2 linked regions of the Elephas maximus indicus genome follow. The protein of the gene in region 1 interacts with the protein of each later gene in a pairwise test. Links are inferred from orthologs where the notes say so. Each region holds a gene or a part of one and is shown on either strand. Other genes may lie near its edges. The genes, in order: NFKBID and SS18.

What was found.
Region 2: the proteins of NFKBID (region 1) and SS18 interact in a two-hybrid assay, tested with the Homo sapiens proteins (2 studies listed by BioGRID and IntAct). The two-hybrid records come from large-scale screens. The link is inferred for Elephas maximus indicus from reciprocal best matches to the Homo sapiens genes NFKBID and SS18.

Annotation. Positions count from the first base shown.
Region 1 is NC_064829.1:115,001,648-115,005,555, forward strand, and holds the start of NFKBID (NF-kappa-B inhibitor delta), read right to left. Parts: upstream 2,398-3,908; 5' UTR 2,160-2,397; coding exon 2,154-2,159; intron 1,838-2,153; coding exon 1,647-1,837; intron 1,556-1,646; coding exon 1,450-1,555; intron 1,295-1,449; coding exon 1,148-1,294; intron 1,032-1,147; coding exon 980-1,031; intron 906-979; coding exon 757-905; intron 1-756. UniProt on the Homo sapiens protein: Regulates the expression of IL-2, IL-6, and other cytokines through regulation on NF-kappa-B activity. Functions in the regulation of inflammatory responses.
Region 2 is NC_064829.1:32,782,939-32,786,846, forward strand, and holds the start of SS18 (protein SSXT), read right to left. Parts: upstream 2,502-3,908; 5' UTR 2,437-2,501; coding exon 2,368-2,436; intron 1-2,367. UniProt on the Homo sapiens protein: Appears to function synergistically with RBM14 as a transcriptional coactivator. Isoform 1 and isoform 2 function in nuclear receptor coactivation. Isoform 1 and isoform 2 function in general transcriptional coactivation.

The sequences.
Region 1 (3,908 bases):
ATGGAGCAGCTAGTGGATTCGAAACTCTGACCTTTGGGTTAGCGGTCAGGTATTTAACCATTGCGCCACCAGGCCTTCTTATAAATATAAAATAAAACCAAAAAAACCAAGCCCGTTGCAATCGAGTTGATTCCAAGTCATAGCAACCCTATACAGGAAAGTGAACAAATGGATGGGGTAGGACTGGCCATGGGTTGCTGGTTACTGACATTAGGTACATGGAGCTCTTATATTATTTTCTGTACTTTATCTGTGTTCAAAATTCTTTAACTAAAATAATAAAAAGTCTATGTTTAATTTTTTCAACCAGCTCTCTGTGACTCAGCTCCTACCACGCAAAAGGAAGATAATAGAATCGCTAAGAGCCAGGTTCTGGGGTCAGACCTCCTAGGTTCCAATCCCTTCTCTGACACTCACAAGCGACAAGATTTTTTAGTCCGTGTGCCTCAGTTGCCTTACCAGTAAAAGAGAAAATAATTATAGTATATGCCAAAGGGTCGTTTGTGAGGATTCAATAAGCTGATTCATGAAACTCAGTGCTTCATGAATAGTTAAGTGATTGATAAATACAGGCTAAGATGAATAATGTTATTATTCCCAGTTGACAACTGGGGCACAGAGAAGTGAAGTCACCTGCTCATGGCCACACAGCTGGGAGGCAGCAAAGTCAGCATCTGTTTGGAGCCTTGGACATCCAGCTGGCCCTCCCTATCCCCCTGGCCCTCCCAGCAGCCAGCTGCCCAGGGCCTGGCTCACCTGGCTGGTGTGGTCAGCACCCACATGCAGCAACATTTGGACGCAGGCCAGTCTGTCTCGGGCCTGGGCACTCAGCACCCGGGGGCACAGGTCGGGTGGGCGCATGGCGATATTGAGGGACAGGATGGCTGTGTGGAGCGGGGTGAGGCCTGCATGACAGAGACAATGAGGGTCCTGAATCTGGAGCACCCAGCCCACCTGCCCCACCTGCTGCCTGACTTACCCTCAAAGTCTCTGGCTTCCAGGTTAACTCGGACCCCGGAGTTAAACACAGCCTGGGAGGGGAAGAAGGAAGGGTGATGGCTGAGGTTTTCCCAAGTTGACTAGCCCTGGAAACCAGGATGTAGGCAACCAGTCCACCCCAGACACCCCACCTGCCAGCTGGCCATACCGAGAGGACTCCTGGGAGCCCGTAGGTAGCAGCCACGTGCAAGACAGAACGGCCCTGGTGGTCAGTGGCATTGGGTTCCGCTCCCAGGTTCAGCAGATCCTCCACAATCAGAGGCTGGTTGGCGGCAGCAGCCACCAGAAGAGGCGTCTACAGGCCACAGGGAAGGTCAGTCCAGGCCCCCATCGCCCTCCTTCCTCAGACTGAGGACCCTAGCTCCTAGTCCCCTCTTCCCCAGGAATGCATAGTCCAGGCCCCAGCTCTCTTCTCCTCTGAACCCAGGAATCCAGGCCTTCAGCCCTCACCTTGCCCTTATGTTCACGGATGTCCAGATGTCTGCACGCCTGGAGCACCTCGGCCGCAGCATACGCTGCCCAGCGCAGCCCCCGAGCCGCAAACAGGTGCAGGAGCCTGAGGGCAGGTAGGGGGCAGCGGTGAGCAGAGCCCCCGCCCCAGCCCCAAGCCTAGCCAAGAGCCTGCAAACCCTATTCCCCATACTCACGTGTCCCCCTCCTCATCCTGGGCCAGCAGCTGTTGTGGCCCCAAGGCCAGCATGTGAGCACGGGCTGTGTCCAGGGATGGTCCCTGGACCACAGGCGGCAACTGTGGGGGTCCTGAGAGGAGTCCAGAAACTCTCCAGGATTCTGCCTGTGTCAGGGAAGGTTCTGCATAGAGTCGGGTATCCAGGGGGTCCTGAAGGACACAGGTGTGGGGAAAGCCAGTCAGCTGGTTTCCTCCTTCCCAAACTGCCATTCCCCCACAACACACACACGCGCGCGTGCACGCACACACGCATGAACAGAGTCAGGGACAGGGACAGAGCCCCTGACTGAGTGGCTAGATGTCCCATCTGTGCCAAGTGACTTTGGATCTTTGGGCCTCAGTTTTACCCTTCTGAGGAATGGGATCTTAACCCAGCCCTGGACACCTCAGAATGCTGAAAAGAGGAAGTATCCATGGTTAGCAGCCCTTTTGCACCTTGCCCCCACGTCCCCACTCTGTATCTTACCTCCATCCCTTGGGGAAATGGGCACAGCTGCCCTGGGTCCGAGGGTGGGTAGAAGCTGGAAGTCGGGAAACCTTCAGCAGCAGAAGCGGGGTAAGAGTAGGAGCTGTCGGTGTACACAGCGTGCGTGTTGGGGTCCCAGTCTGGAAGGCCTGTGGAGGGGGCCAGGCCGCCAAGTCCAGAACTCACAGTCTCCTGAGGCACTAGGAAGTGGCTATGGCCTGCGTGTGACAGGAGAGGCAGGGGCAGGCCTAGTTAGTGGGCTTGGAAAAGTCATGGGTCAGAGCTGGAGGACCTGTTGAGGGCTTCGAGGCACCCAAGGTGCTGAGGGGCTGGGGCCTGGACTCCTGGGCCACCGAAGGGAAGGACTGAGTATGCAGATTACTGGACCCGAGAGAATCTAAGGAATCAAACTGTGGTGTCCCAGCGAGAATGGGGGCCTGACTCCTAGATTCCCCAAAGCTCGAAGTGGGGCTGGGGCTGGAATTTGAGGGAACCAGCTTAGTTTCCAGACTTACCAGCTTCACCCTCATTCGCAGACGGGGTCAGGGGCTGCACCGGGGGAGCCAGGAACTGTCCCTGTCAGAGGCATAAGCAACAAGGAACAAGGGTGAGTTGATCTGGCAATCCCTCACGGTCAGTTCTCCACAGACAGGGTCTCTAAGTCAGGACAACATCTCTCTTCAGCTCTCAGGGCCCAGCAAGGAAGCAGGTCCCTGCCCACCCCACATGGTCTCTGAGAACACTCCACAGGGCCTCCTGAGCCTCACCGGGGCCCCACCGGCGTCAGGCTGCTGCTGGCGGCGCCTCTGCTCTTCCAGGAGCTTCTTCACCGTCTGTGATGGGCAGTGGCTGCGCTCACTCCGGCTCACTGCGGGGGTTGGGGGGGGCCAGGGAAGTCATCAAGGTCCTCAAGTCACTCAAGTGCCCGGGGGAGTGAATCCGAGCGCCCTCCCTCGCGGAAAAACTGGCACATTTAGGCCGCCTGGAGCGCCAAAGCCAGTCGAGGATGATGGGTGCGGCACCCGCCTCCGCCGTTTCCTTCTCTTTGCTCCTCACTTTCCCCCGACCCAACTTTCCACCAGCGTCGTGGAAACGAAGACGGGGAGGGGGAGGGGGAGGGCGCCCCTCTGTACTCCTCGTCATTTCCGTAAAAAAAACACTACCCCAAATCTACCAGTCCTGAGACCTCGGGGGTCACCAGGCATGTCTCCCTGAAAACGTATATCCAGGTACCCAACAGCTCTGTCCCAGAAGCTGATGGCTCCCTGGGAAACCAGGCATCCGAGTTCCCAGTCTCCCTCCCAGAGAAACCAAGAGCCAACAGTCCCCTAGCCAGAAAGGATCTAGAGGTCGAGGCCCCCAGTCCCTTCCTCCTTCAGACCCAAGAGTCCAGGCCCCCATCCCTCAGACTCAAGAGTCCGGGAGCACAGCACCCAGGACCCAGCAATCCAGGTCCTCAGTTCCCTCCTCTCTAGGACCTGGGTCCGGTTCCCAAGCCGGTCTCCCCTCGACCCAGGACGTCTGGGCTCCCAATCCTCGCCCTCCGAGCCAGGGCTCCGGCGAAGAAAGGGTTAAGCGGGGTGGGGCAGTCTCGGAAACAGCCCCGACGCGACGCGCTGACGTCACAGTGCTCACGCAAAGGAATCTTCCATACCCGCCCCTCCGTTTCCCTTCTGGTCCCCAGGTGTCCGGCCCGGAGGCGGGGCGCGCGGCCAAGCATGGCGCTCACGGAATCCCCGCGCACGGGAAATTCCT
Region 2 (3,908 bases), about 82 Mb from region 1:
AGTAAATTCATGAAAACATCAGTCCAGCAGACTTGACATGTTTGCTGGCTAGTTGCCAAGTGTTGTACAGTATGGTTTTGCCATTCCCCAAATACAGCATAATAATCAAATACAATAATTTCTATGCATGTAAAATACTTACGGCAAACTTTATGAGCTTCTTATATAAGTTACCCCAAGAGTTTTTAAAAAAAGCGTATCAATTTATCATTCTACCATCTTATAATGACTCAATGGAATCCTGGCTTTAAGGGCTAAATAATTAATCTACATAAAAGGGCACTGAGGAAAAAATACTGATGTAGCAACTGGAAAGCTGGTTAGTTTCAGCGCCAGCTTTGCTATCCTGAACAAAGTACTTAACTTTTCAGGCGCTCATTCATCTGTAAAATCAAGGGACTAGAGCAGATGAGCAAGTGTTCCTCCTGAACTTGCCATTCAATGAAAACATGGGGCATAGCACCAAATCATTCTATCACAACTATCTAGGTAGCAATTTAACTGTTGCAGGAGTAAAGACGTGGCAGTCTCCTTCAGTGAAGATTTACTGCCTTGGAAACCCTAAGGGCAGTTCTACTCTGTCCCATTGGATCTCCTGAGTCGGAATCGATTGGATGGCAATGGTTTTGGTTTGATAACACTTAATTAAAAAGAAAGACCCACTTAACATTAATTGTAACTTTTTTTCTGCAAATGAATCACTCTTCACTTGTTAGAAAAAATTAATATACCCTTCTAATTACTGCAGTTATTTCTTAAACAGAATCACATAATGCAAAAATAGAAAAAAAAACCCTTGAAATGACATTAATCTAATCCTCAACATAAAATTTCTGCAACATATCATTTCAGTATATTCCTCAACCTCACAAACTTCACCGTTAAGAATGTCTTGTATCTAACGTCAATCCCTCACATTGCAGAATGAGGCATTTAATTTGAAATCCACTTTCTCTTCTCATCTGGGGATGAAAAATAATTGATCAGCATCCTTTAAATTATCACCCATGACAAATATCTTAAGAAAAATTCTTTACAGGAAAAAAGTAAATATAGAAAAACTCGGGACTGTTTCTACATCCTAAAAAGAAAAACAAGCGCCTTCAGAAACATGTGCCTGTGTGTGCGTGTGTGTGCGCACACGCACGCGCGCACACGCTGTTTGCCAGGCTGCAGATTTAGCCCAATGCACTATATGAAGCACCACATTTCCAGTCACTGCCAAGACAATTTATTCATAAAATTAAGCAACAGTTGGGCAAATGTCAAACGCCACACTACATAGAAGCTTAAAGTAAACAGAAGCCGATTAACATACTCTATTGGGGACACAATGGTGTCCTAAGTGGTACTAAAAGCTGACTTCTATTTTCATCCTTGCTTCAGTGCATAAAACCAAATCGAAACAGCTAAGGTAAACACTTATTTTAGGAAGTAATTTTTTAAAGTCCGACTGAGTAAAATTTAGAATGCAGCCTTGCTCACAGGCAACGAGGGGTAAAAAAAAAAAAAAAAAAGGACAATAAAAAACCTTTGTGTCCCAAACTGGCAGCTACACAACAGAAACAGCGGTAGCACTACACTCTAACGGGGACACAGCTCCCTGTGTATTTATCACAAATTATAATTTGTCTCGATCATCGGAGTGTTTCCACCACTGGACTGTACACGCCATGAAGGCAGGAAGCATGCCTCACCACTGTAGCTTCACCATCTAAAATAGGCGCTCAGTAAATACATGCTTCATCTGTAAACGGTTATGGGGTGACTCAAGACAGGGGAAGGGGACTCCTAAGGTAACCCCGAAGCCCGTAGGGTCCTCCCTCGCCCGCCCCTCAGTGTCTCCCGAGTCCTCCTGGGTGCTCCCCAACTCCGTTGGAGTCTGGGGGCAGGCAGAGAGGCGGGGTTGACCAGCGCTTCGAGTTTCACCCCGACTCACGCGACCCGAGGTCGGGTCTGCGCCAAGCAGCAGCGCGCGGGGCGGGGCGACGCCAAAGTAACTCCGGAGCTACGCGCGGGGGCGCGGGGGGCGCCGACTCCGAGCAACAGCCTGTCCTCGCTCGGCCCCGCCGCTGGGCGCACGCGCCCCGCTGCCCAAACGCCGCCCCATCCCTAGAGAAATCAGGCAGCGCTTAATTGGGCTTTTGTGCTTGAAGAAAAGAGCCTAAACACGCGAAGACTCCTCGAGAAAACTGGTTCGGCCTCTTCGCCACCCACTCGGGCACAGCCCGCGGCTCTGGTTCCCACACGACTGCTTCCCAGCAGGCCCGCCTCCGCCCCCGGCCGGGCCGACTCCCGGCCGGCCCTGCCCCAGTGTCTCTCCCAAAGGCGGGGTGGGCCTGGCATCCCCGACCCGCAAGGTTTCACCTTCTGAATAGCAGCGGGGGTGATCTCCCCCTTGCCTCGCTGCCTCGGGGCTGCGAACGCCACAGACATGTTGCCGCCGTCACCACTATCAGCAAGTCCCGAGCGCTCCGAGTGAACGGCAAACTGGGGAAAGACGCCGGCCTCCGGGTTAAACCACCTCTGGAAAAAGGGGAGGGGGGTTCTCCGGTGCCGAACAAACCATCAGCCGGTCTGGCCCTAAGAAGAAACTCTCACCCGCGAAATTTTTGTTTTTACTTATTATTTAGGAACGACAGCTCCAGTATAACTTCCCTGTTCTTGACTGTCCCCGCATCTCTTAGCCTTTCTTTATCCAGCTCCCCCCCTTTAGTTTTTGCCAATGGTAAGGCCGCGCCCCAGCCCTCCCTCCGCTTCAGCGATTCAGGAAATGGTCCCGCCGCCGCGGGAGAGAGAGAGGCTGGGGCAGCCCCTGTCACAGGAAATGCTAGCGACCCGAGCCGGCCCGCCCCTTTCGCGTTGCTGCAACTTGCCTCCCTCCCCGGCGCGCTGAAGCGTCGGTCCAACTGCGTTTCAGTGGTCCGTTTTGGACCTAATTCAGTTTTCCTAACTCCCTTCTCACTCCTGGGAAGAAGTAGCCGACTGGACTTGTCCGGGTCCTCGCCACGGTGCGGGGCAGGACGGGGCAGCCCGGAGAGGGGTGGATCAGGACCTGGGAGGTCATGCAAACCCGAGTAACAGCAGCCAAGATGAAGCAGAGGTGCAAGGAGTATGTGAACGCGGATTCGCTGGTTTAAACAGCTCGGCTATGCCCCAGATGCGCACCTCCGAGTCCACGGTCTCGCACGCGCACAAAGTCGAGCCTAACAATTGAAAAAAGTAAGCCTGACGCAAAATAGGGAAACGAGGGTTGTGTCCTGTACTTAGGGGCAGTCAACCACCTTGACCAGGGCGACCATAGGAGCACATCTCTTGAGACAAACCCTTGCATAAGTGATGATTTCAACTGAGTTGGATCTTTGGAACTGAATTTTGAGATACAGTACCCTCACTGTTTCCTTTTACAGTTATATTTTGGTGGTGGTGTTAGTTGCCCTGGAGTCCATTCCGGCTCAATGGAGACCCCATGTGTGCAGAATAGAATTGTTCCATAGGGCTTTCAAGGCTGTGACCTTTCAGGAGCAGATAAGCAGGCCTGTCTTCCAGAGAGGGCTGGTTCCAACAGCTTAACCGTTTTTGCCGCCCTAAAACCAAACCTATTGCGGTTGAGTGGATCCTGACTCATAGTGGTTCTGTAGAACAGAGTAGAACTGTTCCATCTTGTTAATGGAAGCAGGCGGCCACATCTTTCTCCCTGGAGCAGGCAGGTGGATTCTAACCGGGTGGGGTTCTTTACGAAACCCCATCTATAATCAGATAAAACGAATCAACAATTACTTAAAACAAAGGTTGGAATCCATGGCCTTTTGGTTAGCAGCCAAGCACTTAACCACTGCTCTGCCTTCAAAAACAAACAAAAAAAAAACCAAACCCAGGGCCATCAAGTCAATTCCGACTCATACCGA